4 linked regions of the Saccharomyces cerevisiae S288C genome follow. The gene in region 1 interacts genetically with each later gene. Each region holds a gene or a part of one and is shown on either strand. Other genes may lie near its edges. The genes, in order: AVT4, PSA1, GPM3 and VSB1.

Region 1 (8,920 bases):
AGTCGATAGTAACAGCGATAATAACAGCTCCAACAAAGCCCCCAATATAACTGTTCCTGACTATTCAATTATACCAACCTCTGTTTTAGTAACTCTATTACCGAGGGTCAACGTGCCCAACGGCGCATATAACTCGTTGATCAGCGCGGGATTTGACAATGATCAAATAGATGCTATAGCCGCAATAATGGCGTATCATCATCAAAAAAAGATTAGGGAAAATAACAGTAATAATAATAAAAACATCAACACCAATGACAGTCAAGAGGCACCCATTCTAAAAAACATCAACGAACTTTTAAGTGTCTTAATACCACCCTCTCCGGCTGAAACTGCTGCGCCAACTACCTTATCAACGTCGCCTTCGTTCAATGAGCACGGTGTAGTAGCAGAGGCTTCTTTTCTAAGCTCCATTTTGGAACTGGGCATAAAGCATCCAAAAAGTAATAATATTCACAATCAACGACAACCTTCACGAAACGATCATAAAATATCAAGAGAGAGTGACGGTAACAATGGAAACGATAATGTCCATCATAATAACGCTGTTATTAAGTCAAGTACGACGCGTGGAGACGAAATTGCCAAGATACGATCCGAGCCAACTTTAAATGCAAGTTCTTCTGATCACAAGGAAAATAGTTTAAAAAGATCACACTCCGGAGATTTGAAAAATAAAAAAGTACCCGTCGACCGCAAGTATTCTGATAATGAAGACGATGAATATGACGATGCAGATTTACACGGCTTTGAAAAGAAGCAACTGATCAAGAAAGAGTTAGGGGACGACGATGAAGATTTATTGATACAGTCGAAAAAATCTCATCAAAAAAAAAAACTAAAGGAAAAGGAGTTAGAATCATCGATACATGAACTGACCGAAATTGCAGCATCCTTACAAAAACGGATACATACGTTAGAAACGGAAAACAAGCTTTTAAAGAATTTAGTTCTGAGTAGCGGTGAAACGGAAGGAATAAAAAAAGCTGAAAGCTTAAAGAAGCAAATTTTTGAGAAGGTTCAGAAAGAATAAAATAACAGACTATACAGTTTAATTATATATATATATATATATACGTGCATTTTTCTTAAAGAAATATAACTTTTTTCTTGTACTGCCTGCAATCTCTATTCTTCATTCATCACACATCTATTCAAACGCGTTAAAATTTTTTTGTTAGCCTATAAGTAAAACGCGTCGCGTGTATCCAATTTTACTGAATTAAATTCTTTACTCATTGGATGATATATATCTTCTTGGTCTAGACAACGAACACATACCAATTCAGACTCACGAGAAAAAAAACTGTCTTCACTCTGCTATTAGAAACCAAATAGTATCAAGGCATAAAATAAACAGTGGAAAATGTCTTCTAAAAGTGAAAAATTAGAAAAATTGAGAAAGCTGCAAGCCGCTCGAAATGGTACATCCATCGATGATTACGAAGGTGACGAATCAGATGGTGACAGAATATACGACGAAATCGACGAAAAAGAATACAGGGCCAGAAAGCGCCAGGAATTGCTGCATGACGATTTTGTTGTAGATGACGATGGTGTAGGCTACGTCGATCGTGGTGTCGAAGAAGATTGGAGGGAAGTTGATAACAGTTCAAGTGATGAAGACACTGGAAACCTTGCTAGCAAGGATTCTAAAAGGAAGAAGAATATAAAAAGGGAGAAAGACCACCAGATTACAGATATGCTGCGAACTCAACATTCCAAATCAACACTGCTAGCACATGCAAAAAAATCCCAAAAAAAAAGTATCCCCATCGATAATTTTGATGACATTCTTGGTGAGTTTGAATCTGGTGAAGTAGAAAAACCCAATATTTTACTGCCATCCAAATTAAGGGAAAATTTAAATTCTTCGCCGACTAGTGAATTTAAATCGTCAATAAAGAGAGTTAACGGAAACGATGAGTCAAGTCATGATGCCGGTATTTCTAAAAAAGTCAAGATTGATCCAGATTCAAGTACTGATAAATATTTAGAAATCGAATCATCACCGTTAAAATTACAAAGCAGGAAACTGCGCTACGCAAATGATGTACAGGATTTATTGGATGATGTGGAAAATTCCCCAGTAGTAGCCACAAAGAGACAGAATGTACTTCAAGATACGTTACTAGCAAATCCACCATCCGCTCAAAGTTTGGCTGATGAAGAAGATGATGAAGATAGTGATGAAGATATTATTCTGAAAAGAAGAACTATGAGAAGTGTGACAACAACTAGACGCGTGAATATAGACTCAAGAAGTAACCCTTCAACTTCACCGTTTGTCACAGCACCCGGAACGCCAATCGGTATTAAAGGACTAACTCCAAGTAAATCTTTGCAGAGCAACACCGATGTTGCTACACTTGCGGTTAATGTCAAAAAGGAAGATGTGGTAGATCCGGAAACTGATACTTTCCAAATGTTTTGGTTGGATTACTGTGAAGTGAACAACACTTTGATTTTATTTGGTAAGGTTAAACTAAAGGATGATAATTGTGTGTCAGCCATGGTTCAAATCAACGGTCTCTGTAGAGAGCTATTTTTCCTTCCAAGAGAGGGTAAAACACCTACCGATATACACGAGGAAATAATTCCGTTACTGATGGATAAATATGGACTGGATAATATCCGCGCTAAACCTCAAAAAATGAAATATTCGTTTGAGCTTCCTGACATTCCATCTGAAAGTGATTATTTGAAAGTCTTACTTCCATACCAAACACCGAAGTCCAGTCGAGACACCATTCCATCGGATTTATCTAGCGATACCTTTTATCATGTTTTTGGTGGGAATTCCAATATTTTTGAAAGTTTTGTTATTCAAAATAGGATTATGGGACCATGCTGGTTAGATATAAAGGGAGCAGATTTCAATTCAATTCGTAATGCTTCTCACTGTGCGGTTGAAGTTTCGGTAGATAAGCCTCAGAATATCACGCCTACTACAACAAAGACAATGCCTAATCTGAGATGTCTATCTTTATCGATTCAGACGTTAATGAATCCCAAGGAAAATAAGCAAGAGATTGTTTCGATAACGTTATCAGCATATAGAAATATCTCGTTGGATTCACCGATACCTGAAAATATAAAACCAGACGACTTGTGTACTTTAGTAAGGCCGCCTCAGTCAACTAGTTTCCCATTAGGTTTAGCTGCACTGGCAAAACAGAAACTACCCGGTAGAGTCAGGTTGTTCAACAACGAAAAGGCCATGCTATCTTGTTTTTGTGCTATGTTAAAAGTGGAAGACCCAGATGTTATCATAGGCCATCGTTTGCAAAATGTCTACTTAGATGTTTTAGCTCATAGAATGCATGATCTCAACATTCCAACGTTCAGCTCTATTGGCCGTCGTTTAAGAAGGACTTGGCCTGAAAAATTCGGTAGAGGAAATTCGAATATGAACCATTTTTTTATTAGTGACATTTGCTCTGGTAGGCTGATATGTGATATCGCCAATGAAATGGGTCAATCATTAACACCCAAATGTCAAAGTTGGGATCTTTCAGAGATGTATCAAGTTACATGTGAAAAGGAGCATAAGCCGTTAGATATTGATTATCAAAATCCACAATACCAAAATGATGTAAATAGTATGACAATGGCCCTACAAGAGAATATTACTAATTGTATGATTTCTGCTGAGGTGTCTTATAGAATTCAATTATTAACCTTGACTAAACAGTTGACAAATTTGGCTGGTAATGCATGGGCCCAAACGCTAGGCGGTACAAGAGCTGGTAGAAATGAGTATATCTTACTACATGAATTTTCAAGAAATGGTTTTATTGTTCCTGACAAAGAAGGCAATAGAAGTAGAGCTCAGAAACAAAGACAAAATGAAGAAAATGCTGATGCACCAGTTAATTCTAAAAAGGCAAAATATCAGGGTGGTTTAGTTTTTGAACCTGAGAAAGGTCTTCATAAGAATTACGTTTTAGTCATGGACTTTAATTCTTTGTATCCATCTATTATCCAGGAATTTAATATATGTTTTACCACCGTTGATAGAAATAAGGAAGATATCGATGAGTTACCAAGCGTACCTCCTTCAGAGGTGGATCAGGGTGTTTTACCAAGGTTATTAGCTAATCTGGTGGATCGTCGACGTGAAGTTAAGAAGGTGATGAAAACTGAAACTGATCCCCATAAGCGAGTTCAATGTGATATTCGTCAACAAGCTCTAAAATTGACTGCCAATTCTATGTATGGTTGTTTGGGTTATGTTAACAGTAGATTTTACGCAAAGCCGCTCGCCATGTTAGTCACTAATAAGGGTCGTGAGATTTTAATGAATACAAGACAACTAGCTGAAAGTATGAATCTTCTTGTAGTTTATGGTGATACAGATTCGGTCATGATAGATACCGGTTGTGATAATTATGCGGATGCAATTAAAATTGGCTTGGGATTTAAAAGGCTAGTAAATGAGCGCTATAGATTATTGGAGATTGATATTGATAATGTTTTTAAGAAGTTACTATTACATGCCAAGAAAAAGTACGCTGCTTTGACTGTAAATTTGGACAAAAATGGTAATGGAACTACTGTTCTAGAAGTTAAAGGGTTGGACATGAAGCGTCGTGAATTTTGTCCACTTTCGAGGGACGTTTCTATACATGTTTTAAACACCATCCTGTCAGATAAGGACCCAGAAGAAGCATTGCAAGAAGTGTATGATTACTTAGAAGACATCAGAATAAAAGTGGAAACCAATAACATTAGAATTGATAAATATAAGATCAATATGAAGCTTTCAAAAGATCCCAAGGCCTACCCAGGTGGTAAAAACATGCCTGCAGTCCAAGTAGCTCTAAGAATGCGTAAGGCTGGTAGAGTTGTTAAAGCTGGCTCTGTCATCACTTTTGTGATCACAAAGCAGGATGAAATAGACAATGCAGCGGATACGCCGGCTCTTTCTGTGGCTGAACGTGCCCATGCATTGAATGAGGTAATGATTAAAAGTAACAATTTGATACCTGATCCACAATATTATCTCGAGAAACAAATATTCGCGCCGGTAGAAAGGTTGTTAGAAAGAATTGATAGCTTCAACGTGGTGCGTTTGAGTGAAGCGCTTGGTTTAGATAGTAAAAAGTATTTTAGAAGAGAGGGCGGTAATAACAATGGAGAAGATATTAATAATTTGCAACCCTTAGAAACAACAATTACAGACGTTGAAAGGTTTAAGGATACTGTAACATTAGAATTAAGTTGCCCATCATGCGATAAAAGGTTTCCATTTGGTGGTATTGTATCTTCAAATTACTATCGCGTGTCATATAATGGTTTACAGTGCAAGCATTGTGAGCAACTTTTTACTCCTCTTCAATTAACTAGCCAAATAGAGCATTCTATAAGGGCACACATTTCCTTATATTACGCAGGGTGGTTACAGTGTGATGACAGCACATGCGGTATAGTTACAAGACAAGTCTCCGTTTTTGGTAAGCGTTGTTTGAATGACGGCTGCACGGGTGTCATGAGATACAAATACAGTGACAAGCAATTGTACAATCAACTTTTATATTTCGATTCTTTATTCGATTGTGAAAAAAATAAAAAGCAAGAATTGAAGCCAATATATCTACCCGATGATCTCGACTACCCCAAGGAACAGCTGACAGAATCATCTATTAAGGCTTTAACAGAACAAAACAGAGAACTAATGGAAACCGGCCGGAGCGTTGTTCAAAAATATTTGAACGATTGTGGACGTCGCTACGTTGATATGACTAGCATATTTGATTTCATGCTAAATTAGGTAAGTATTTTGTATGTGTTGTGTGATCTCATGAATATTCTATATAGTAAGAAAAGAATACAACTGTACATACGCATCCTACTAGATACCTAATGTACAGACATCGGAAGGAGCGCTAGGAAGCTTTTATTATTGAAGGTTTTCAGCGATATTCTGAGAATGTTTTTTCGGCTCTGGTGATCAGTTCTCACATGCATCATCCTTTAATAAACCCATGCATTAAGATTCGCCTTATCAGCAAGATCAGATAAGCGAACAGCTTCATCAATGAAATAGAATGCTTAAATCTTGTGAAGCACTGTCATAAGCCAGTTTGATAAAAGCAATACCCACAATATAGTTGGATATCATTTACCTTGATCTGCTCTTGCTTTCGAGGTGACATAGCATTTTTAGCCATCTGATTCCTTAGGTTCAAAGGCACTCATCATTCCTCCTCTAAAACACATTTCAACGTCATTCATAATCTGGAATCAACATAACAATATCCTAGAACACATCATCAATGGTCACTAACAATGGAGATGGTGAGCACCTTGGGATCCGAAGAAACGGAAATTTAAGGCATCCTTCCAATAATATGAAAATTCCCAGAAGGGCTCAATCAACAGTTCTCAATTCAAACCCATTTTATAGTAGGAAGTATTCTATGTCTACCTTAACGCCGAGGGATATATGTCGAAGCGTTGATTCTAGAGTATTTGTGGATATGTCTTCTCCCAATTTTCAGACTCTGGAGGATCCCCACAGAGATGAGATTATAAACAGTGTACGGCTTAACTACTTGAACAGTAGCAAAAGAAGTTCCGTCTCTCATGGAAATGAAGCAATCCCTAGGGTTAATCCGACTAAGAATTCTTCAGCAAGTACCATAGCTGCAGCAAATGTTGATAGTGATGACGATGAGACTAACCTGAGTAGCGCTGGAGGCGACATAACGCATGATATTTACAAGTTGGTTAAAGCAGAGGATCCTAAACGGCTCAGACGCCCTCGGTCCATGGAAAATGTAACACCTAAAATTGAGCACCATACTAAATTGTCATCAGCAAGTGGTTTAAATGTCCCCGGTGGCTTCAGAAGGGAATTTATTGTCAACAAAAAAAGGCAAGAACATCAATTAAATGATTCCGCTAGCTCAGACTTCACTTCGCATGAAAGCGATTCGATTAACCAGTCATCTCCATCTTCTAACCAAGATATCGATAAGGTCCCCTTTTTAACAAGAAACTTTTTGGAATTTCTATACGTGTTTGGACATTTTGCTGGTGAATCCTTCGAGGATGATTTTATCCCTGATAGCTCAAACATGATGATACGCGGAGAAGATGAAAGGAGTGCATTGCTGTCTCGGCCTGACCATATGAAAGTATTACCTTCAGCCAAAGGTACGACTTCGACAAAGAAGGTTTTTTTGATATTGCTTAAATCTTTCATTGGAACTGGCGTTTTATTTTTACCTAATGCCTTTCATAATGGTGGTTTGTTTTTCTCAGTAAGTATGCTGGCCTTTTTTGGAATTTATTCATACTGGTGTTACTACATATTGGTGCAGGCCAAATCTTCATGCGGTGTATCCTCCTTTGGTGATATTGGTTTAAAACTGTATGGACCTTGGATGAGAATAATAATTCTTTTCTCCCTAGTAATAACTCAAGTTGGATTCTCTGGAGCTTATATGATATTTACTGCAAAAAATTTACAAGCTTTTCTTGATAACGTATTCCATGTGGGCGTCCTACCTTTATCTTACCTGATGGTCTTTCAAACGATCATTTTTATTCCACTTTCGTTTATTAGAAACATTTCGAAATTGTCACTACCATCTTTACTAGCAAATTTTTTCATCATGGCTGGTTTAGTCATTGTCATTATTTTTACAGCCAAAAGGTTGTTTTTTGACCTGATGGGGACCCCAGCAATGGGTGTCGTCTATGGCTTAAATGCAGACCGTTGGACGCTGTTTATCGGGACGGCAATATTTGCTTTCGAAGGAATCGGGTTAATTATTCCTGTTCAAGACTCAATGAGAAATCCTGAAAAATTTCCTTTAGTACTTGCTTTGGTGATTCTAACGGCAACCATACTTTTCATTTCCATAGCTACATTGGGATATTTGGCATACGGCTCAAATGTTCAAACGGTTATACTGTTGAACTTACCTCAAAGTAACATTTTTGTAAACTTAATCCAGCTGTTCTATTCCATCGCAATTATGTTGTCCACACCTTTGCAGTTGTTTCCAGCTATTAAAATTATTGAAAATAAGTTTTTTCCAAAGTTCACTAAAATATATGTCAAGCACGATGATCTAACAACAAGAGTCGAATTACGTCCTAATTCAGGAAAGCTGAACTGGAAAATTAAATGGCTGAAGAACTTTATTCGTTCTATAATCGTAATCATTGTTGTATCAATTGCTTACTTTGGGTCTGATAATTTAGACAAGTTCGTTTCAGTTATAGGATCCCTCGCCTGTATTCCTTTGGTATATATATACCCATCGATGCTGCATTTACGGGGCAATAGCCTTCCAGAGACTAAAGGGGAATTTTGGAGATTCAAACCAATGTTAGATACCATTTTAATTTTCTTCGGTATTGCAAGCATGCTTTATACGTCTTACCAGAGTATATTCGGTGTCTAGACGATATATGTTGTTGCTTCATAAAGAATTTATTTGGAATCGAGGAACACTATTTTGCCATTGTCGCCATTGACAGCTTGCAGTTGCAAACGTCTTCTTAATTCACTTTATATAAACAAGGACCGCCAGGTCACAGTATTATTCGCACGAAATTATGTAGTAGGTAAAAAACACTAAAAGCATTACCCCTATATTGTTATTTAATGTTCCATCTACGATTAGTAGGTGGTGAGCATGTCTGAATATACACAATTTCATATTTATTATCAAGTTCAAGATTGCCAGAATTTTATTTTTTTTTCCAATCTGCGAATAAGCTTGATCCGATTACTCCGCTTAATGCCCCGACAACCTGAGAACTTTTAAACATATCAAGGAGTAGAGTGGGATTAATGACAATGTGATAGTTTCATAATTAAAGTAAGCAGTCAAAGACAGAAGCAGCACACCATTTACCAATACAGCTTCCAAAATGGTAAATTTTTATGATGACGTGGATG
Region 2 (7,858 bases), on another chromosome or scaffold:
TGTTTCGTTTTCATAGGTATATCAACAAGCGCTTTATACTTTAGCGCTTTACTGACATGCACTAAGCTATATCCTCATACAAAACTACTATCCATTAGCTTACCAACGACATGTTATGGTATTTCTTCTGTAGTCGGTTCTCAACTGCTAAGAATCAAATGGTTCTGGTCCTCTAACGCAAGTTCTTCCTCGTCCAATAGTGACTTAAACCTGGGAAGAGTATTCCAAACATTTGCCCTCGTTTATGTCGTTATTGGGCTACTTGCATGGATAGCCACCAGCGTGGTATCACTTTTGCATTTTAATGAAGAGCAAGACAACCAAAAACGGCTGGATGATCAAACTGATGTGGAACAATCACCGCTGTTAGAACGAAGTAATCATGTTCAAGAAAAGTTTACGCAGACGATGCTAAGGATCTTTAGTGATCCTGTGACATATATCCTAGCGGTATCAATTTTGTTATCACTTGGGCCCCTCGAGATGTTTATTGCCAATATGGGATCACTGACTAACCTGCTAGTCCAATTAGATGCGCCAACCTTATCTACAAAGTTGTTATCCACATACGCGCTATCTTCCACTTTTACGAGATTGCTCACAGGCATAGTGGCAGACTTCTTCGCCAAGAAAAAAATATCAATTAAATGGATCCTGTTGACTTTCCTTTCATTAGGGGTATGTGCACAACTGTTTTTATTGAAAATGACCTCTTCAGCGTCACCCTGGGGGCTAGTACCTACAGGATCATTGGTTGGAATTGTATACGGTGGACTTTTCACTGTTTATCCGACGCTGGTCCTGTTAGTATGGGGCGAACGCTCATTCGGGACTGTTTACGGTAGCTTACTAATTGCACCTGCTATAGGTTCTATGATATTTTGCATGTTGTATGCCAAATTTTACGATTCTCGCTGTATGAGTGGCGGAGGAGATCTGCGAAATCCGTCCTGTATTTCGGCTGTCTACAAGTACAGCAGTATCGCATTCGTTGTATCCGCTGTTCTTTCAGCTGTAGTATTTTGGAAATTAAAAAGTAGAAAACTCAGAATTTAAACAAAAAAGAAACTGCTACATTTATTTTTTTTAAAATTCATAGCTTATATAAATGACACCAATAAATTGCACTTATTTCTTTTATGCTATGCTATTGTTTTTGATACCCTTTTAAAGGTACCGGTTAAAAATTGAGAGAAAAAAAGAAAGAACTCCTCATAGGGGGCTCGAACCCCTGACATTTCGGTATCCTTGCTTAAGCAAATGCGCTTAAAAGCCGAACGCTCTACCAACTGAGCTAACAAGGATGAGTTCTTCGGAGAATCCTGGACATAAATTTGTCCATGTTATTTTAAAGTTTTATCAGATTTGCACTGGTCTTTACCGTTCCAACACTTTGTACATGTTGATAATAAGAATAAAATATCATCCATCGACTGCTATTCTTCATATCAATTGTACATTATCATATATGATGTAAGGTGATTGGGAAACAGTCATCAGATCTTATGGAAAATAAAATGTGAAGATTCATAATATGATAGGGTAATGAATGGCAACATATAAACGAATAAGAAAATCCGCTTCTAAAAAGAACGGAATTCACCAAGTATCCCAACATTGACCCATTTCTTATGCTTACATATTGTTATTTTTTGCCCCTGTCTTAGTAGCAGAGCTTTCGTCACATGTTCAACTAAATTCCAAACAGTTGAACTTTTTGTTCTACTGATCTTGTAATTCATGCTTCCTTCTATGCAACACGCCATACTAATTTAGTAGAATGAACAGTAACTGGTGAACGATGACTCTGTAGTAGAATACTATAAAAAGGTGGCATCGTATAAAGGTGCCTTCTTTGACCCTTGGCAGGTAGGGCGGCAACGGCACAATGATATTTTATTTAACAAAAAGATACGCTAACACCGCATCTGAACACGTAATACTACTATATGACTTGGAACAAATGGCTAATCAATAATCACATATGTTCGACCGCTGCAGGAAAAGAGAAAAGAAAGCAGTTTCTACAAGCAAGAACTTGGAAATACAGACAAACCTCCAGTACTTTATTAGGATTGTCCATTCCTCACCCAGATATGTTAAATTCGATACCAATGTGTTTTGATTCACGCGCAGAAAGAAGGACTTTCCCTGCTCTGCTCGGCAAAAACATACACGTTGTCGACCGAGCACGACTGCCGTTGTCGAAGCCACCACTGTCACTTCTCGTTTAATATCTTTAATCGCATCATCTATAGTTCCTAATTCTGCATTCCTAACACTGTAGCCTATCCAGCAAAATCATTCCCATTTTCTCTTTATATGTGCCTAGATTTTAAAATTTTGCTTAAGATGATTTACATTGAGGGGGGAAACTTGCTTTATCCGCTCCTCCAATTGATTCAAGAAGTATGGGCGCTGACCTACCATCTCAATTTCTTGTTTCACTCGAGAATTGTCACTGAGATAGTAAATGTCTAGAGAATCCTTTGCAACAGGAGATTTCAAATTTATATTCTTTGTGTTCGCATTCGCTTCCCGTCTGTTACTCGTTCCCTTACCATTCTATTATGCATTGCAGATCTGCCAAGTAAAAAAAAAAATACCTTGGTGTACACACCACCCATACATTATCTGACAAGGAAACAAAAGTAATGACAGTAAATTGAAGAACTTGTGATGAGCCAAAAAGAAGAATGTGTGCACTTCTTTTCGTATTTTTATGGTAAAGCCAGTTGGTGGCTTTCTTTGACGATATGAAACCCAGGATCCCATGCTGCCTATGTTGCATTTATGTAATTGTCTGTATGAAGCTCGCATTTTAGAGTTACTACTATGTGCTTTCTATGCAGTTGCTTGCCGCAGCCAAGACGTAGAGATTTCTTAGACGTGCTTTTTATTTCTTATGAAAGTAAAGAGTGTGTATACAACGAACTATGTTAATAATTAGTAGTACCAGAACATTGACTTTCGTAAGGACCAAACGGCATCCCTATCTCGGAAGAACACCACATGATGCAAGTTCTCCTGCCTACGAATAGTTCGTCAGGTGCCAGCACTGAGACCACCCAAACTAAAGGCAATCGAAAACTATACCACGTTTATCGTTATGTTTCGGCGGCTCACCTTGTATCAACCTGCTTGGCAAGCTGCTCTGCGAGGCTCCATTTTTTTACATTTTCAAGAGGAGTACATTTCACCTTAAAAAACGGCACGGAGAAAGCCTAAACTTGGTTGCATATACGCAATTACAAATCTTTTATAACTACTTCTGATTCTGTGCACGACGTGCCACCCGGTACAGTTCAAAGGTCACTATACGCACTGTCGATCGAGCCAACCCAACCCACAGAACATCCTAAAGCTTCAAATCGAAACGCGTACAGTCAGCATTCTTCATGCTGCACCCGATCCTTCTTACCGCGTGCTGGGTGAAAAGCAAGACTAAGAGCAAGACCCTTGGATAACGGCACCAAATGGACTACTTTCGTCCTTTCCTGCAACTCTGACTATAGCTTTTTCTATCATTGCCTAAACCAAACCGTCCACGCCACCTCACCAGCAACGCACAGCATGAAGAACGCGAAAACAGAAAAAAAAAACGCCAAAAGAAACGGCCACCGTGTACTTGCTGGCCAGCTAGAAATGCCTCGGGAGCCACCACGTTTATTTTTATCTCAATCTCTGAAAAACTTTTTTTTCTTTGTTTTTGTCGTTTTTCAGCATGAACAGCGCAGCAATAAACAAACAAACAAACAAACAGACGAACAGACACAGAACCACAGCTGACCGGTAGTAAAGTAAGCTGGTGGTTTCTCGCTTTGTTTTCTTTTTTTCCTTGCCTCGTGGCGCTCTTGTAAACATATATATAGTAGACTTTTCACGTCATTGTTAGAAGTTTCACATAGTCTTGTTTTCTTTTCTCCAAAACTGTATTTTTTTTTTCTTTGTCTATCTTGTTCTCACCTCTTTGACTTTGATAACGTTCATCAAGTGTGCAAACTACTTTACATTCGCTAACTCTTTTCTTCTGTCCAAATATTTTGTTGACTATACAAACAAAATATTATCAGCACAAGACAAGCTACAACTTCAACAAATAAAACATATATAATTGAAAAATGAAAGGTTTAATTTTAGTCGGTGGTTACGGTACCAGATTGAGACCTTTAACTTTGACCGTTCCAAAGCCACTGGTTGAATTCGGTAATAGACCAATGATTTTACACCAAATCGAGGCTTTAGCCAACGCTGGTGTTACTGACATCGTTCTTGCTGTTAATTACAGACCAGAAGTCATGGTGGAAACTTTGAAGAAGTACGAAAAGGAATATGGTGTTAACATCACTTTCTCTGTAGAAACTGAACCATTAGGTACTGCAGGTCCATTGAAATTGGCTGAAGATGTTTTGAAGAAGGACAACTCTCCATTTTTCGTCCTAAACTCCGACGTCATTTGCGAATATCCATTCAAGGAATTGGCTGACTTCCACAAAGCTCACGGTGGTAAAGGTACCATTGTTGCTACCAAGGTCGACGAACCTTCTAAATACGGTGTCATTGTCCATGATATAGCTACTCCAAACTTGATTGACAGATTTGTTGAAAAGCCAAAGGAATTTGTTGGTAACAGAATTAACGCCGGTTTGTACATTTTAAACCCAGAAGTCATTGACTTGATTGAAATGAAGCCAACTTCAATTGAAAAGGAAACTTTCCCAATCTTGGTCGAAGAAAAACAACTATATTCCTTCGATTTGGAAGGTTTCTGGATGGATGTTGGTCAACCAAAGGACTTCTTGTCTGGTACCGTTCTTTACTTGAACTCTTTGGCCAAGAGACAACCAAAAAAATTGGCTACAGGTGCCAACATTGTTGGTAATGCCTTGATCGACCCAACCGCTAAGATTTCCTCCACTGCTAAGATTGGCCCAGACGTGGTTATCGGTCCTAATGTCACCATCGGTGATGGTGTTAGAATCACCAGATCTGTTGTTTTGTGCAACTCCACCATCAAGAACCACTCCTTGGTCAAATCTACCATCGTAGGCTGGAACTCTACCGTTGGTCAATGGTGTCGTTTGGAAGGTGTCACTGTCTTGGGTGACGACGTTGAAGTTAAGGACGAAATCTACATCAACGGTGGTAAAGTCTTACCTCATAAGTCTATCTCCGATAATGTTCCAAAGGAAGCTATTATTATGTGAGTTAGGAAAACGAACTGTAATGAATATAATCTATATCACTCATCTGTTTTTGTTAATTTTATTTTAGCCAATATCATTATAAAAAGAGGAAAACATGCACAGAAAAAGCACTGCTTACTGTTATGTCTTAGTTTGTAATTGAAAATGAAAAATAAAAAAAAAAAAGAAAATAAAGAAAAAAAGGTTGATCCTTATGTAACTTTTTATTTACGTAGAAGTTAATAAATATTATCTCATTGTTTTATCTATTTTTCAGTATATGGATACATGTAAAGTTCCTCTATTTATGTATATTTTATGCATGACTATTCGCGTTTGAGATTGTGATGATCTGTTCTGCGCCCTTATTTTTATTATTGTTGGCTATCAATGTCTGTAGTATTACATCCAGCGAACTATCTACTTCTTCAATATTCATTTCCGTACCTTCCCTGATAATCCGTCTATATTTATGAATCTTGGCATTGTCTTCAAATTTCTTCACCAAGGAACTCAATTTGTTTTTCCTTTGTAATTGCAACATCGTTAGTTCTTGAGCCAATTCCAACCTTTCCAGCGTATTATTATCTTTCTCAACTGTGTTATTGGTGGTAGCCTGAGTTTCATCTTCTATTAATTTGTTCAATAAAACCGTTTGCCTGTATTCCAGCTTTTGTTTTATCAACCGTTTGTATCGTATGAGCCTTTTTCTCAATTTCTTAGTATTTTGTTCTTGTAGACGAGATAAAATTTCGAAGTCATCATTAGTCTGAGCTTCGCCGTTTTCATCTTTACTGCTCTCTTTCAATACCTCTAAAGTTTTTAGGCTTACCTGTATTTTCGTCTTAGAAATGCTTTTTAAAGTTTTTTGCAAACTTTTTATTTCGTTGTCATGCTGTTCATGAAGATCGTTGTATATGCTAGCCATTTGCTTCATAGAATTCACTACATTTGGAATATTTCTTGATATATTGGTGGCAATTTGAGATGGATAGGTTATGTAATCCGAAGGAGAAACAGGCGACATGATTACCATTGAATTAACATCATTTTTCGTTTCAATGTTGTTTGTATTAACGTGGATATTCAAGTCCGTGTTTGAAGAATTGACATGTTGATTTGTACCATTTTGTATCATCATTTGCTCATATTGTTGATTCATTATTTCATTGGCGGTTAATCCTTCCTTATTGGAAATAGTAGTTAATGCACCCATTTTGACCAGTGTATTAAAAAAAACAACATCTCCATTTTTAGAAGCAATATGAAGTGCGGTATCGCCATTTTTGTCTTGTGTGTTTAAAAGTAATTCAATTCTATACTGTGGGGAAAAATCCTTGATCTTAGATAGCACAACATCAAGATAATAAACTGCAGAAGGTGTTGTTGATTTTCGTTTCACAATATGGTGAATTACTGTTTGTGATTGCGAATCGATATCAAATACGGTCTCGTGCAGTAGCTGGAAAATTCTAGGGAAAGTTCTTCTAGTGTATGAATTGTGGAATAAGGAACTTCTCATCAATGGAGTTTGGCCTTGAGAATTTGTCGATCTGATACTTGTTCCGGCTTCGTACAACGCCTCAGCAATTGGTAAATTACCCATAGAACAAGCCCAATGGAAGGCAGTATGTAATTCTGGATCGATTGGAGCATCTATATAGGGAGCGCTGTGTGGAGGTGGGTGCAATAACACTTGTGGTAGGGACTTATTTGACTTCATTTCATTGGAAATAAAATAATCAACCAATTTTGAAAGGTATTTGTTAACTTTATCATTAATATCCGATGTTTGAGGCCTTGAAGTTACAGGATAACGCGGGATCATGGAAATAATAGGAGATGTTCCACCACCGGGAAATCGCTCTTCAAATGGATTACTATCGGCAAAATCGCCCGGTGACGTAGGTAATGAAGGAGAGGAAGATACGGACGTGGCCATTGATTCTGTTTGCTGTGTCTGTATCAAGGAAGATTGTTGTTGGGGTACAAATCCAGTATTTTGATTAAAAACTTGTTGTAATTGTTGTGAAGGTTCCACATCGCTTGATAAGCCGTCCTCAAGATCAATTTCTTTGAACTGTGCAGAATTATTTTGTTGCGGCTGCTGCTGTCGAGAATCGTGCCTTTCTTCTTCCAGAATACCCAATGTAGGGGATTGTGGTCCCATGGTGGATCTAATAGAGGGAAGTTGCGTTGTCGATATTGAAGAATTCGGTATCGCCGGTCTAGGAAATCCCATATCACTTTGAGAACGTTGTAAATTGACACCTAACTTCCGCCTACTTCCCCTCGTAGATCCTACCGGTCTACCTCTTTTCCTTGGTGCAGCCGTGGGATTTCCCAATATTTTGCTGCTTTGAAATTGATTTTCCTCGGCTTTCTTGTTGTTTCTTTTTGTTTCCATAATTGCGGAAGTACTTGCACTTCTAATAGCCTTTTTCCTATCCACCTTCGAGGCATGGTGATGTTTTGGAGCAGGAGGTGGAGAAGCAGACCCATCTGTTTGCGTAAAGTCGAACAACGGTTTCAGCTGATCGTAGACACTAAATTTTTCTGCCAGTTGTTTCGCTATGTTCAGTGGGACCCATGTACCCTGATATTTACCAAATCCACCCTGAACTTTTTCATGAGTTTCCTTAAGTACTTCCTTCTCTAGAATCCTTGTTCTT
Region 3 (5,188 bases), on another chromosome or scaffold:
CTCCTTGTTTGATGGGTTATGGTGAAGCTTTAACTAAAATGAAGGGTAAAGTCACCGCACCTGAAGGGTCCGTTTACCACGAATGGTGTGAAACTTACGCATCTTCATGGTATCGTGAAGCCATGGATGAAGGTGAAAAACTTTTGAACCACATCTTAGAAACATACCCTCCAGAGCAACTTGACACTTTAGTAACAATCTACGCTGAAGTTTGTGAATTAGAAACAAATTTTTGGACCGCTGCGCTAGAATACGAGTAGATAAGATGGCTTATGCACAATAGATAAAGATATACCTACATATAATGAATTATAAAAACAAAAAAATAATAATAAGAAAAAAGTTTCTTTGTTATACAATCTATAAAAACTTCTTATAGAAATTTAAACACGTTTATTTAGCTGCTTTTCGTTACTCATTATTCTATCAATAAAGAAAGAAGGAAATATAAAAGGAAACCATGAAAAAAATGGCGCTAATTTTTTATTTTTAAAAACTATTCATGGATTCTTTTCGAAACCCTCATCACGAACCATTTGAGCATTAACTTTAGCTGATTCTGGATCCAAGTAAAATTTCCTCACAAAAGAGTAATTGTCTCTATCCAACTCTATAACTAGCGGAATGCCGTTGGGAATATCGACATCTTTGATGTCTTCATCTGAGATACCTTCCAATACTTTCAGCAGAGATCTTACAGAGCTGCCATGCCCAACTATAACACACGATTCTTGACTGATTTTGTTGGCGGTAGACAGAACAACATTATTTAAAAATGGTTTCAATCTGACGACCACTTCACAAAGAGACTCACTTTCTGGCAGACGCTCATTAGCCTTCTCTTCGGGGCCGTATTTTAAGTGTCTATTGGGCTCCTTAAAATCATAGCCTGTGGAGGACCCCTGATCATTTTCCTCTTGGACCATTTCCAGGTTTAGGTTGACTTTAGGGGGTTTTCCGTTGTAATCTCTTCTGATATACATGTATTTTTCCTTACCGTATTCTTTCAAGATATCTGGCTTTCTTTGTCCTTGCCATGCGCCGTAATGACGCTCATTTAACCTCCAGGTTTGCAACACAGGCATACTTCCTTCAAATCTTGTGTCCTGCAGCTCCTCCTTAATGTTTGTATTCGTAGTAATTACATAATTGGTGTGTTTTAGTCCCAACTCTTCGAGAATAACGTCCATGGTCTGCTGAGTTCGAATCAACCTTGAAGTATAGCCAATCTGAGGCAAAGAGATATTGTTAGAATCGCAAAACTGCTTGATCAATTTTGCAGAGTGGCGGGCCTGAGACTTCCCTTTTTCCGTTAATTGAGCATCAATCCATCCGCAGAATATGTTTTCTGAGTTTAATTCACTTTGACCATGCCTTAAAATAAACAGTTTAAAAGTGTCAGTAACAGTCATAACTATTCGTTATTAGTAGATCTTTTTGCACTATTTCTCAATCCTCTCAAAGAGACTTTTATTGTAAATCCTCGATTGCAGGTTGTTTTATCACATATGTATAAAATGGAAGCTTCTATTGTTTTATCGAACTTGTCAATGAAATCTCGCATTGTTATCATCTCATAATACAAATCTGAAAAAAAAAGTTAAAAAACAAAGGAAAGTCACACAAAACTAGCAAAAGTAACAAATCAAAATTCGCTGACAGTTAGTGCTGTCGTATCCTGTCACACTTACATAATATATATCTGTTTACATAATCTAATAGCTTGAACAAAAGCAACAGCAAAGGTTGCTAATTAAAACGTGTGCTCTTAAGGACATCATAATTCTCTATCAAGGAAAGATTGGAGCATACCCTGTGGGGTTTCATCATATTCTTTCAGGGTTACCTTGTTATTGTCGTCAATATAAGAATTCGATTGTATGAATTGTCTCCTTGGCAATCTCTTAGATAAGACGATGTCTCTTAAAGACGCCAAATCCGGTGTCACCGTTGATCTATCAATAAAGTACTTACTTCCCTGTTCCACATCGCCTGAACATTTGTAAACATGCAAATGCTTTAAATAGTCTTTCACACATTCATGTCCCGCTGTTTTAATGAGAGATTTATCCAACTTGATGGCAAAATCATCATTCGTGCTGTTCATCTCCAACTTTAAGAAATTCTTATCTGTAGAGTGCTTCATAAATGTTTTCATGATAGAAAATCTTGCTTGCATGTGTGGTTGTCCCCACTTACCAGTTTTTGGATTCCAGTATTCTAAAGCTAGGAGACCCGCACGGGCCATTTGTAGATATCCAGCGTAGATCACTTTATCTTGAGATTCGACATCATGGAAACCAAAAATATCAAGAATCTTCTTATTAGTAAGCAAAAACATGGCAATTACTTCCGCACGACATTCTTCAAATGGGCCAGCTAACTGTCCAAATTTGGAACCCCAAGTTTCACCAACTTTGTAGTATGTGCTCACCGGTTTCCCATCCAAACCTAAAGGAGGGTTTTCCTTATCAAAATTAAAGCCGTCTGTAAATTCTGTCAACAACTTTCCTGAACCATGTCCTAATAATTCATGGATGCCTACTTGGACTTCAAAAGAATCACTTTGATATTTTTCAAAAATTGGGCGATCTTCTTGCGATATAAAACTTGGCGGATGCTTGGATGAGCTTTTGGCAGCCGCGCTTAAGATATTCCCCAAAGAAACATTCTTGAACCCAATTTTAAGCCGAACATCATCATAGTTTGGAATATTGATGCCCGCTGGTATACCCGATCCAGTAAACGTTAATACTTCTAGAGAGGTGAAATCTGGTGGATTGAAAATCGGTTTTTCGTAATCTTTAGACCATGGTAGTAAGGAAATGAATTCTTCTGCGTTGTTAACCAAGCTGGAAAATTTAGCAGTACGTTCTTTGTTTTGAATTGCAACCAACGATTCAAATTCTCCAATTATGCCCGAGGGTTCTCTATATGTTTCGATAAAACCGATATTTGTTTCAATGACGGGAGATATATCTTTGACCCAAAGTTTTTGTGCTTCTTTATGTGCTTGAGAAGAGCCAGTGACAAAGTGGTTGATGTATTCCTGAAGCATTGCTTTTTGAGTATCATTAGCCGCGAATTTTTGAGCTTCCTTTAAATACGATGCTACTAAACGCATTTCACGTGAATGATCACCAAAAATGAATTCTACTTTGGTTACAGCATTGGATAATGTGATCTGTCCACTGGGGTAGGTTTCTGTTATCTGGTTTTTCACATTCTCAGAGGCAACCCAGATTTGGAAACTGTTTTCACCAACTTTGTTGATTCTTGTGTTTTCAGGCAAGATGGCAAGTTCAGCAAACAACTGCTCTTTCAAAAGAGCCATATCTTCAGGTGTCACAGGTAAACCCAGATAATAGGCTGAAGTATAACCTTGAGAGGGAAACCCTAAGAGAGCCGCCTTCTCTTCCACATGGTAAATACCAATATCAATTAGCTCATTGATGGTGGAAAAAAGATGATGAGATGTGAATTCATGGTTAACGTCAACAGGAGATAAAGTGAGCGGAGAAGAACACGGATTAATCTTGGCCAGCTCCAAAAGCTGTTTGAAGAATTTTACCTCACAACGAGGAATAAACTTAGTGTCACCAAACGATTTGAAATTACCCAAATTAGATAAGAATTGAGAAACGTATTCCAAATACAAACCCGTTTGCTGCTTCTGCGTAATATCGTCCTCTGGGTACTTGCCGTTTAGCTTTGAATGAATGGCAAGGATTAGGTCAAAAATTGGCTCACTCTCATGAGAAACTTGTCTCATTACAACCCTTGAACCCGCATGGGAGGCCTTTGACATGAAATGCGCATATTTTTGTTCCTTATCAGTCAATTGAGGAAAGTATTCTGTTTTAACAGAAAGCATGCTCAGAGGAGCATCATGATCGGCGAAAAAGTGGCTCATCTTTGAGGACTTAATGGTGCAGTGCTCAGTTTTTTTTTTCTTCTTTTCAATGTTCTGTTCTCATGAAGGTATTTTTCCTTTACGATATTGGGATTTTTCGCTACGTCAACTTATTCCGAGCGGCTATGCTCTTAGCTATTTTTTCTTCTATTCAAAATTGGTATGATGCTTTCTTAAACTATTTATACAAAAGCTTACATATGTCTACATATGTATTTACATCACAAGAGTGTGCAGAAATAGGAGGTGGAGGAAGAGATCGTTATCTATCTTGAGGCGATGAACTAGCGGACTTACAAAGTCAACTCTTCACCTTTGGTTTTTTTGGATTCACCGTATTTTTTAATTCTAATGGCCTGGATGGCAATGAAACCGGTGGTATCGGTAGGTAAGAAACCGGTCAACTCATCCATAGAGGATTCTGTCGGATCGTACAACTTTTCAGTCTTTGTAGATCTGCCCAGAATGATGACGTTACCCTTATACAGTCTAACCCTGACAGTACCGTTAACGCTATTTTGGGATGGTTGGATCATAGATCTGATGTACTCACACTCTGGGGTGAAGTAGGAACCGTTATATATCAATCTGGAGTAGTTTGGTGTGACGAATGAGTCTCTCAATTGACGGACTTCTTTGTCTAAAGTCAAACCTTCCAAATCAACATGAGCTTTTCTCAAAACAGTCAATGGAGCCTGTTCGTAACAACCTCTGGATTTCAAGTTAATGTAACGATCTTCTACAATATCGATTCTACCAACACCGTTGGCCCTTGCTAAGTTGGATGCGGCCAAGAAAACATCCAAAGGCTTGGTAACGGAAACTTCCTTGGAAGTCTTGTTGTCGGTGTAGGTCAACTTGACTGGAAGACCACGTTCAAAGTCAATGGTCAAATCTTGTGGTTGGTCCGGAGCATCCATTGGATCGACGATCAATTTCCACATGTCCTTTGGTGGGGTGGTATCTGGGTCTTCCAAGATACCTGCCTCGTAAGAAATGTGGGCTTGGTTTTCGTCAGTAGACCATGGCTTGGCCTTGGTTTGGGCGACGGGAATACCCTTTTGTGCAGCATAGTCTAACAAATCCTTTCTGCCAGCAAATCTTTCGAAAAATTCAGGCATTCTCCATGGTGTAATACACTTAACGTCTGGCTTCAGAGCGTAAAATGACAATTCGAATCTGATTTGATCATTACCTTTACCGGTACAACCATGAGAGACCGCGAAACAGCCCTCCTGTTTAGCGACGTCAATTTGGGCTTTGGCAATAACAGGT
Region 4 (9,878 bases), on another chromosome or scaffold:
AAGTGAGCAAATGCTCTGTTCGAAAAATAGATAGACTGTGTAGAATCTAAATCGATCGCCTCTGTATATTTTTCAATGGCCTTTAAAAAATGTTTTTCCTTCACAAAAACATTTCCTTCGTTCTTTCTTTCAAGTGCCTTCGCGCGATCTGCTGCTGTGGGTGTTGACATATTCGAGATATTTGATTATACCAAGGCAAGCGTTATTTCTTGCCTCTAAAATTGTTAAAGTTCTGTGTCAAGCTCTATAAGCTGTTTTCGCCAATTTTCTTACCTCATCTGTGAAATTTTTCAGTTTCCCGCCGTCGTTTTTTTCCCTGGTTTAGCGTTTTAACGGAAAAAGAAATACATACATACAATGATTGAAAAAATATTTTCATAAAGAAGAAAATGAGAAGGAACTTTTGAGGACTAGAAGTGTTCCTGATAATTGTCTCAGCCAGAATTTTCAGTGGCCAAGGTACGAACAAGAAACTGCTAAAAGGAAAAAAAATACTCAGAATAACAGAAGATGACAGACAGTATTGTGGAACCCCAACAATTATCTCAAAATTTACCTATTTCTTAAGTATAAACAGTACACTGCATCAGTGGTATTAGATTTGTCATGGTGTAAAATTTTATGATAAAAAAATACAACATGGCGGGCGTAAAATAAAATACATATTCGTAATCCTGGAATATTACGCCAACTACAACCAATAACTTATGATTATATTACCAGAATATTATCATGTATGGCTCTCAAAATATGACATAAATGGTTTCTATTAAAAGCATCATCAATTCAATGAAGCTGAAATTTCAAGGATTGGTGATGTAATAGAACAATGAGCGGCGATATCATAGAACGAAAAAAGAAGTAATCGTCATTTTTTGTAGCACTCTTATTTCCTTTTTTAGAGTTCTAATCCTCAAGGTGAAACCGTAACATATGCATATACTTAACGATACCGCCTTCTTTGAAAATTAGAAGCCTTATATCTATTTCGAACGCACATATGTTGTCATACACAATGCGACACATGAAAATACTACTCTTTACACCTGTATTATCAAACTATTAATCAGTGACTTCCGAAAAAAATAGGTCTCTTGGCCCAGTTGGTTAAGGCACCGTGCTAATAACGCGGGGATCAGCGGTTCGATCCCGCTAGAGACCATTTACTTTTTAGAATGCAAATATAAGATCCCGATAAATCATAGAACCACCACTTACTTATTCACTTATGTGGTCCTTCCTGCTGTGGGCAGAGAGCGATTTGCACGTACAAAGCGATCAAATTACGAACAAAACAATACATAAGAGGTTTGGACACGTTCTTAAGGCTAACTCCACATTGCGATAACAAGATTAAAGTGAGCTCCTGCTCATTCCTAATTGGAACTCATCATGCCTCCCATCAAGGTGGAGCCTGGATTTTACTAAAGAAACCGTTCGAACGGCTCTGTATTTACTAAGAGGGGGATATATCAAATCGTGGAAAACATGAGAGAACAGTCTCGTTGCGTGCAACAGCCGCTATCCTGCTGCTCTCTGCATAACTGGACCTTGCGTATTGGGTTCATTCTTTTGGCTTTGTGAAACGATTCACAAAGCCATACGTCCGTAGTATGGACCCTGCAGGAATGGTCTACATTTTCTATCTACTAGTAAAGCTTTATTCACATATGGGTGCCGCACGGCGCGGGTTTTTGCAAATTTTCTTAGCATTGACTCATGGCAAGATTTCTCCAGAAAATCAGTAAAGCCTCATCCAGCCTCTCTTCTTGAAAAAATTATGACTTTGAATCGCATATTTCAAAGATTTGCCACTTGCTTAGTTTCATTTATTCTAATTTAACTTTTATACTATTTTTTTTGCTTCCCAGTTAAGCTCACCAAAACACAAATACTCACTACAATACAATATGTGTGGTATCTTTGCAGCCTTCAAGCATGAAGATATTCACAACTTCAAACCAAAAGCTCTACAACTATCTAAAAAAATCAGACACCGTGGCCCAGATTGGTCAGGAAATGCCGTTATGAATTCCACCATTTTCGTTCACGAGAGGTTGGCTATTGTTGGTTTAGACTCCGGTGCCCAGCCAATCACTTCAGCTGATGGCGAATATATGCTTGGCGTTAATGGTGAGATCTACAACCACATCCAACTAAGGGAGATGTGCTCTGATTACAAGTTTCAAACTTTCAGTGACTGTGAACCCATCATACCGTTATATTTGGAACATGATATCGATGCTCCAAAATATCTGGACGGTATGTTCGCATTTTGTCTGTATGATTCCAAGAAAGACCGTATTGTCGCTGCAAGAGACCCTATCGGTGTTGTCACTTTATACATGGGGCGTTCTTCTCAGTCTCCAGAGACCGTTTATTTTGCCTCCGAATTAAAATGTCTAACTGACGTTTGTGACAGTATCATTTCGTTCCCTCCTGGTCATGTCTACGATTCTGAAACGGACAAGATTACTCGTTACTTTACCCCAGACTGGTTGGATGAAAAGCGTATCCCATCCACCCCAGTTGACTACCATGCTATCAGACACAGTTTAGAAAAGGCCGTTAGAAAGAGGCTAATGGCTGAAGTTCCATACGGTGTTCTTCTATCCGGTGGGCTGGACTCTTCTTTGATTGCTGCGATTGCTGCTCGTGAAACGGAAAAAGCTAATGCTGATGCTAACGAAGACAACAATGTTGACGAGAAGCAACTTGCAGGTATCGATGACCAAGGCCATCTACACACATCCGGTTGGTCTCGTTTGCATTCGTTTGCGATTGGTCTACCAAATGCACCTGATTTACAAGCGGCTAGAAAAGTCGCCAAATTCATTGGTTCTATCCACCATGAACACACTTTTACATTACAAGAAGGTTTGGATGCTTTGGACGACGTGATCTACCATTTGGAAACTTACGACGTTACCACTATCAGAGCTTCTACACCAATGTTCTTACTATCTAGAAAGATTAAGGCCCAAGGTGTCAAAATGGTTCTTTCTGGTGAAGGCTCGGACGAAATATTCGGTGGCTATCTATATTTCGCACAAGCACCTTCTGCTGCAGAATTTCACACCGAATCTGTGCAACGTGTCAAGAACTTGCATTTGGCAGATTGTTTGAGAGCTAATAAGTCCACGATGGCTTGGGGTCTAGAAGCTCGTGTTCCCTTCTTAGACAAAGACTTTTTGCAGCTATGTATGAACATTGATCCAAATGAAAAGATGATCAAGCCAAAGGAAGGACGTATCGAAAAATACATTTTAAGAAAGGCATTCGACACTACAGATGAACCAGATGTTAAGCCATACCTACCTGAAGAAATCTTATGGAGACAAAAGGAACAATTTTCCGATGGTGTTGGCTACTCATGGATTGACGGCCTAAGAGACACTGCTGAAAGGGCCATTTCTGACGCCATGTTTGCCAATCCAAAGGCTGATTGGGGCGACGATATTCCAACCACCAAAGAAGCTTACTGGTACAGGCTGAAGTTTGATGCTTGGTTTCCTCAAAAGACTGCGGCAGACACTGTCATGAGATGGATTCCAAAGGCCGATTGGGGTTGTGCCGAAGATCCTTCAGGTAGATACGCCAAAATACACGAAAAGCACGTCAGTGCTTAATACGAGCGCAATCGTATTCTTATAATTGACGAGTGAACCAAGAAATGCGGTGATACAAACGGATATTAATCTATATAGATATATGTATATAATAAAAGTTTTCAATCTGCTGACCCCTTAGGTTACTTATCTATAGGATTCGAATTACGATATGAAACCCTTTCGGTAGATATCACATGGAATACTGCAGCCGATTGATTAGTTAATTTCTTATCTCGCTTTTTTTCTCTTTATCTATCTATCTATCTATTTATCTATCTATCCTTATGCTGCAAAATGAAAAATTCCCTAGGAAGTTCGCGCTATCAAGGTTCTTTTTCCCACGTATCGGTCCCTGAGTGGATCCCAAAAAATGTGTGGGACTATGACTATATATATAACAGTCACAGTTGAATCATATTAATGTTCTATTTCTTGAGGTGATTTCAAATTGTGGCTCCAACAAGTAATCTCGGCAAGCTATCCCTTTTTAAATAATATTTTGCATTCTTTTTCTTTTTTTTTTTTTTTTTTTTCCATCTCACAGCCCTTCTTTATTTTTTCAATAAGGTAACAGAGTTGATAAGGAACCAGATAACAATCAAAAAGAATCGTTTCATTTCAGAGCTACCACCGGTCTATAAGCAAGACAGTTTAAAATCTCAAAAATTTAATTTAGAAATATGGGAAGGACTATTAGGAGACGCCGGAGTAATTCGTCGCTTTCGGAGGCCATATCAGTTTCTTTAGGAATAAATCAAGACTCATCTGTGAACAAGATGCATAGAGCGAGTGTTAGCGCAATGTCTCCTCCATTATGCCGTTCATACATGAGCGGATTTTTTACTGGTGGAAACTCACCTATGATCAATAATTTGTCGGATTCAAAACTTCCCATCTCGAACAAACAACATCCTAAAGTGATACATGGATCAGAAAATTTGCATAGGCAGACAGCTCAACTATCCAATGAATTTTGCTCCTCTTCTGTGGAAGAAAATTCTCCCACAATTAAGGATTACATGGACATTATAGGCAATGGTGATAGAAAAGATGATCAATCTATGCGTACTATAGAAGAGAATATTGATGAAGAATATTCAGATGAGTACTCCAGATTGCTACTTAGCCCAGCATCGTCTAACGTGGACGATGACCGAAATCGAGGACTACAGAATAGTTCACTACCGGAATTAGAAGATGGTTACGCGGGCGGATATCAGTCACTTCGTCCCTCCCATAATTTAAGGTTTAGGCCAAGAAACTTGTGGCATATGTGTACGTCATTTCCTTCCAAATTTGCACATTATCTGCCCGCAGCAGTGTTAGGTTTGCTTTTGAACATTTTAGATGCCTTATCTTATGGTATGATCATTTTTCCAATCACAGAGCCAGTTTTTTCTCATTTAGGGCCCACTGGTATATCCATGTTTTATATTTCCACCATAATATCACAAGCCGTGTACTCCGGAGGCTGGTCGAGTTTTCCTTCCGGGATTGGGAGTGAAATGATTGAAATTACTCCGTTTTATCATACAATGGCATTAGCTATAAAAGAGGCATTAGCAGGTAATGATGACGAAATCATAACGACAACGATATTTTGTTATGTGATAAGTTCGATGCTCACAGGTGTCGTTTTCTATGCATTGGGTAAACTACGACTAGGAAAGATAGTGGGATTTTTTCCACGACACATATTGATTGGCTGTATTGGAGGTGTTGGTTATTTCTTGATAATTACAGGAATTGAAGTCACAACGAGGGTGGCGAAATTTGAATATTCATGGCCTTTTTTTTCAGGGCTGTTTACGGATTATGACACATTAGCGAAATGGTTATTACCTGTACTATTGACTGTAGTTTTAATCGGCACTCAACGCTACTTTAAGAACTCACTCGTTTTGCCAAGTTTTTACATCTTGACGTTAGTTTTGTTTCATTTTATTGTTGCGATCATTCCAACATTATCCTTGGATGCTTTGAGACAAGCTGGATGGATTTTTCCTATTGCCAACTCAGATAGTAAATGGTATGACCATTATAGATTATTTAATGTCCATAAAGTTCATTGGTCACTAGTTTTGCAACAAATACCAACGATGATGGCATTGACATTTTTTGGTATCCTACATGTTCCTATAAATGTTCCTGCGTTGGCTATGTCACTACAAATGGATAAGTATGATGTTGACAGAGAATTGATTGCACATGGTTATTCCAACTTTTTTAGTGGATTATTAGGTTCTGTCCAAAATTACTTGGTATATACCAACAGTGTTCTGTTTATTAGGGCGGGCGCTGATTCGCCATTCGCTGGGTTCCTTTTAATAGCTTTGACTATCTGTATTATGATCATTGGACCAGTCATAATATCATTCATTCCAATCTGTATAGTGGGCTCTCTAATTTTCCTACTAGGCTACGAGTTATTAGTGGAAGCGTTGGTCGATACATGGAATAAATTGAATAGATTCGAATATTTGACTGTTGTCATTATTGTTTTCACGATGGGTATCTTTGATTTTGTCCTAGGTATCATCGTTGGCATTTTAATTGCATGTTTTTCGTTTTTGGTGGATAGTACGAAATTACAAACCATTAACGGTGAATATAATGGGAACGTCGCAAGAAGTACAGTATATCGTGATTACGTTCAAACAAAATTTTTGGATGGAATTGGTGAACAAATATATGTTTTAAAGCTCCAAAACCTTCTGTTTTTCGGAACAATCATATCTATTGAAGAGAAAATTGAAAGATTGCTGCAAATAAGTAACAAAGATGCAACAAAACGCAGAATAAAGTATTTAATATTGGACTTTAAAAATATTAATGCCGACAATATTGACTATTCTGCGGCAGAAGGTTTCAATAGAATTAAAAGATTCACGGAAACCAAAAGAATCAAACTAATCATATCTTCAATCAAAGAAAGGGACCGTATTTACAACGCCTTCAATAATGTGGGATTACTAAACGATGTGGAATTATTTGCTGATTTAAACAGTGCGTTGGAATGGTGTGAAAACGAATTCCTTTTTCAATATAAACAATTAAGAAAAAAGGCGAAAGAAAGATTGGAAGAAGGAAAGCAAAATAATGTCGTATCCGCAGTAATTGCAGCCACTAAAAACAAAAAAATTGATACAATAGGAAATGGTTTAAACAGGGGAAGCAATGGAGACACAGCGAGAAACTTAATGTCACTACCAACCAATACTCCTCGTAATTACCAAATACTTTCTGTAGCACAGAATGTATTTGTAAACGACGAACAAGCAGTGAAGAATTTCAAAAAGGAGTACAAAGATGATGAACCTGTCCTGCCTATATTGTTATTTGCATTAAAGCAGTACCGACCCGATATAATATCTGAAGTTCAAAAAGTAAGAGAAAAGGAAATCAAGTTTTGGGCACAACTCTGCCCCTACTTCACCAGGCGCAGATTAGCAAGTCAATCACATTTACTACATGCAGACAACATTTTTTTCCTTGTGGAAACAGGTATGTTGAAGGCAACATATGAACTACCACAAGGAACCTTGTACGAGATTTTTTCAAATGGCACATGCTTCGGAAAAATCATTGCGCCAGGGAATGCTATGCCTAGAGAACAAAAGCTCACCATCGAAACTGAAACTGATTCCGTATTATGGGTTATAGACTCTAGCTCGTTGAACAAATTGAAAGAAGACAATCTAGCATTGTACGTGGAGGTTGCATTAATGGTCATGTGTATCAAGGACACCAGATTCAAAGAATTACTAGGTTACACACTTGTTAGCGCATGAGAGCGTACACGTATATTTATTTAATTTCTTTTATTGCCGGCGTATTGCAAGTAATTTACACCAGTACTAAATAAAAGCAGGATGCTCCTGCATCTGTATAAGTGATGCCGTTGTAGGATTTTTACCATCTCGACTATAAACTTTTTGTACTTGAGTCTTCACTTCCGGAATTTTACTGCGCGATTTTCTTTGATAGGGCCCCTATCGTAGACGAAAAGTGATAATTCCCATCGATGAGCAACTACATACCTCACTTGACTTAATTGCTCTCCTAAAGAAAAAAAATACCGTTACTTTTTTCATTAATATACTACCACAACAATTCACAACGGGTAGTTGTACGGTTAGTTTATATCCGCATTAACAAATCAAAGTCATAACAACGTATCAACGTAGACTATGCCTGTCCCATCTGTTACTGTCACTACCGATAATGAATATGAAGACATATCGTCCTTTTCTTCTATTGACTCTTACAAACCGGAGCCCTTTACTGGGTTCAAAGATTCTGAAGCTCCAGAACAGCCTCTTTTAAAAAACGATACCATTGTTGGAAAGGGGCAACTGGAAGATGATAGTAATGTAGATGATCAACACCGTCATTCAGATGTGCATTCTCATCACAGTTCTAGTACTTTAAAAAGGCCAACTTCAAATTCGATAGAAAAGATGGTTACCCACAATGCTTTAGAGGGCAACTCAGAAACAGTTGATTCCTTAAAAGAAGATGGTTTAAATTTGAACAAGAAAGCTCTTCCGGATATTACCGCCCCAGTAACAAACTCAGCTCACGATGCTGCATTTCCAGAAGAGTATCGTTTAGAAACTGAAACCGGGTTGGTCAAATTGAAGACGCTTGAAAGTTTGAAGAGGGAGGACTCTCGCGTATCCTCAACTAAAAAAGAGCATATTAACGACCATACAGATATGCATTCGACACGATCCAAGGTTACTACAAATTCTCAAGGTTCTTCTCTAGAACCAAACAAGTTGAACATGGCAGTAGAGAAGAATAAGAAGAGGATCGAAAAATATCAAAAACATAAATCAGAAAAGGGGATCAAGGGGTTTTTTCATAGAATTTTCGATTAAGTGGCATAGCAACATTTAGTTCGCAATGCGTTTACTTCAGAATCATTCTTTTTTTTTTTTTTTTTTTTTTTTTGCCTCACATTATATTCTTGGCATCTGCCTAGCTTTCGACTTTTTCGTTCAATTCCTAAAGCGCTAAAAAAATAGTCTCCCCCTGAAAGTGGAGTAGGATAGTAGTATATGAAGTGAGGCAGAAAAGGAAAGAAACGCTTGCATTTATTAACACACCTGTGGCTAAAGTATTAAAAACCAAAAACTAACGAACAAATAATGTGCATTTTAATGGCCACAAGGGCACATCCTGACTATGAACTCATCTTAATATCTAACAGAGACGAATTCTTGGCAAGAAAAACACATGCTACATGCTGGCATAACAATGATTTTATCCTTTCACCCTACGATCTGGCCAAAACCTCAGCAGAAAAACAAATATTTGGCACTTGGTCTGGCATAAATAAAGAAGGAAAATTAGCCACTATTCTTAATTTAAAACTTGACAATGAGCAAAATAATACGAAATCAAGATCCCGTGGTCTGTTACCATTTATATTTTTGTCGATCCATAAAGCAGATTTTGAAGATTGGGATAATTACAAAAAGTTTGAAGGTCACTATGATGGGTTGAAGTCCACAGGTGATTTTAATTTTTTTTACGGCGACGTTATCAAAAAGCAATATAAAGTTATTGATTCTCTAGGAAGAACTTTTGATGTGTTGAGTTCTACCTGTAGGAAAGATCTTGATTCTTACATGGTTGTTTCTAATGGTAAATTTTATGACAGCTCCAGTATACCAGGGCAGGCTTGGGAAAAAGTAAAGGTAGCACGTGATAGTTTAGAAAATCTAGTTTTAGAGAATATTGAATCAGATGAGGAGAAAATAATATCAAGTTGCTTTCAACTCGCCTCGAAGTCTTCCCTTCCAAGCACTATTTCAAACCCAGATGTCTTGCAGATGGTAGATCCAAATGTAACCATGAATACCATATACGTACCACCTTTACGGAGGCCTCCCAGGGATGACTTAGGTGCCTCAATTCCTGATGGTGATTACTACGGAACTCGCTCTCAAATAGTTTTACTCGTGAGTAAGGATTCAACGAGAGTTACCTTTATAGAAAGGGTCCTTTATAGCTCAGATGAAGACGTGCGCAAGTATTCGGTAACCTCACCTAAGGAGGAAAAAAGGTTTAAATTCAAATTGTAAAAATCACAATCTTCCATTTTATTTCAAACTAGCTTTAAATTCCATCTTCTTCCCCTCAGAACATTCCGGTATCTCTTGTTGGACACATCTAATGTATATGATGTTTTCAAATTCTAAATGCCTGTTAGTTTATCAGTAACCACAGTAGACGCTATATATATTAGTTCCTTTTCTA

What was found.
Region 2: mutations in AVT4 (region 1) and PSA1 together harm fitness more than expected from each alone (negative genetic interaction), as found in Saccharomyces cerevisiae (one large-scale study listed by BioGRID).
Region 3: mutations in AVT4 (region 1) and GPM3 together harm fitness more than expected from each alone (negative genetic interaction), as found in Saccharomyces cerevisiae (one large-scale study listed by BioGRID).
Region 4: mutations in AVT4 (region 1) and VSB1 together harm fitness more than expected from each alone (negative genetic interaction), as found in Saccharomyces cerevisiae (one large-scale study listed by BioGRID).

What each region holds. Positions count from the first base shown.
Region 1 is NC_001146.8:428,721-437,640, forward strand, and holds AVT4 (Avt4p), read left to right. Parts: upstream 1-6,278; coding exon 6,279-8,420; downstream 8,421-8,920. Other genes in the region: MET4 (Met4p), read left to right, coding at 1-1,033; DNA-directed DNA polymerase alpha catalytic subunit POL1, read left to right, coding at 1,367-5,773; MIC27 (Mic27p), read left to right, coding at 8,893-8,920. UniProt on the Saccharomyces cerevisiae protein: Involved in amino acid efflux from the vacuole to the cytoplasm. Capable of transporting large neutral amino acids including tyrosine, glutamine, asparagine, isoleucine and leucine.
Region 2 is NC_001136.10:353,023-360,880, reverse strand, and holds PSA1 (mannose-1-phosphate guanylyltransferase), read left to right. Parts: upstream 1-4,121; coding exon 4,122-5,207; downstream 5,208-7,858. Other genes in the region: MCH1 (Mch1p), read left to right, coding at 1-1,056; transcription factor MBP1, read right to left, coding at 5,503-7,858. UniProt on the Saccharomyces cerevisiae protein: Involved in cell wall synthesis where it is required for glycosylation. Involved in cell cycle progression through cell-size checkpoint.
Region 3 is NC_001147.6:219,492-224,679, reverse strand, and holds GPM3 (phosphoglycerate mutase family protein GPM3), read right to left. Parts: upstream 1,413-5,188; coding exon 501-1,412; downstream 1-500. Other genes in the region: THI20 (trifunctional hydroxymethylpyrimidine kinase/phosphomethylpyrimidine kinase/thiaminase), read left to right, coding at 1-260; YOL057W (dipeptidyl-peptidase III), read right to left, coding at 1,778-3,913; ARG1 (argininosuccinate synthase), read right to left, coding at 4,207-5,188. UniProt on the Saccharomyces cerevisiae protein: Could be non-functional.
Region 4 is NC_001139.9:738,034-747,911, forward strand, and holds VSB1 (Vsb1p), read left to right. Parts: upstream 1-4,291; coding exon 4,292-7,402; downstream 7,403-9,878. Other genes in the region: PPT1 (protein serine/threonine phosphatase), read right to left, coding at 1-170; ASN2 (asparagine synthase (glutamine-hydrolyzing) 2), read left to right, coding at 1,911-3,629; YGR126W (uncharacterized protein), read left to right, coding at 7,802-8,494; YGR127W (uncharacterized protein), read left to right, coding at 8,765-9,703. UniProt on the Saccharomyces cerevisiae protein: Amino acid transporter involved in vacuolar uptake of basic amino acids for storage during nitrogen replete condititions. May function as an amino acid/proton antiporter.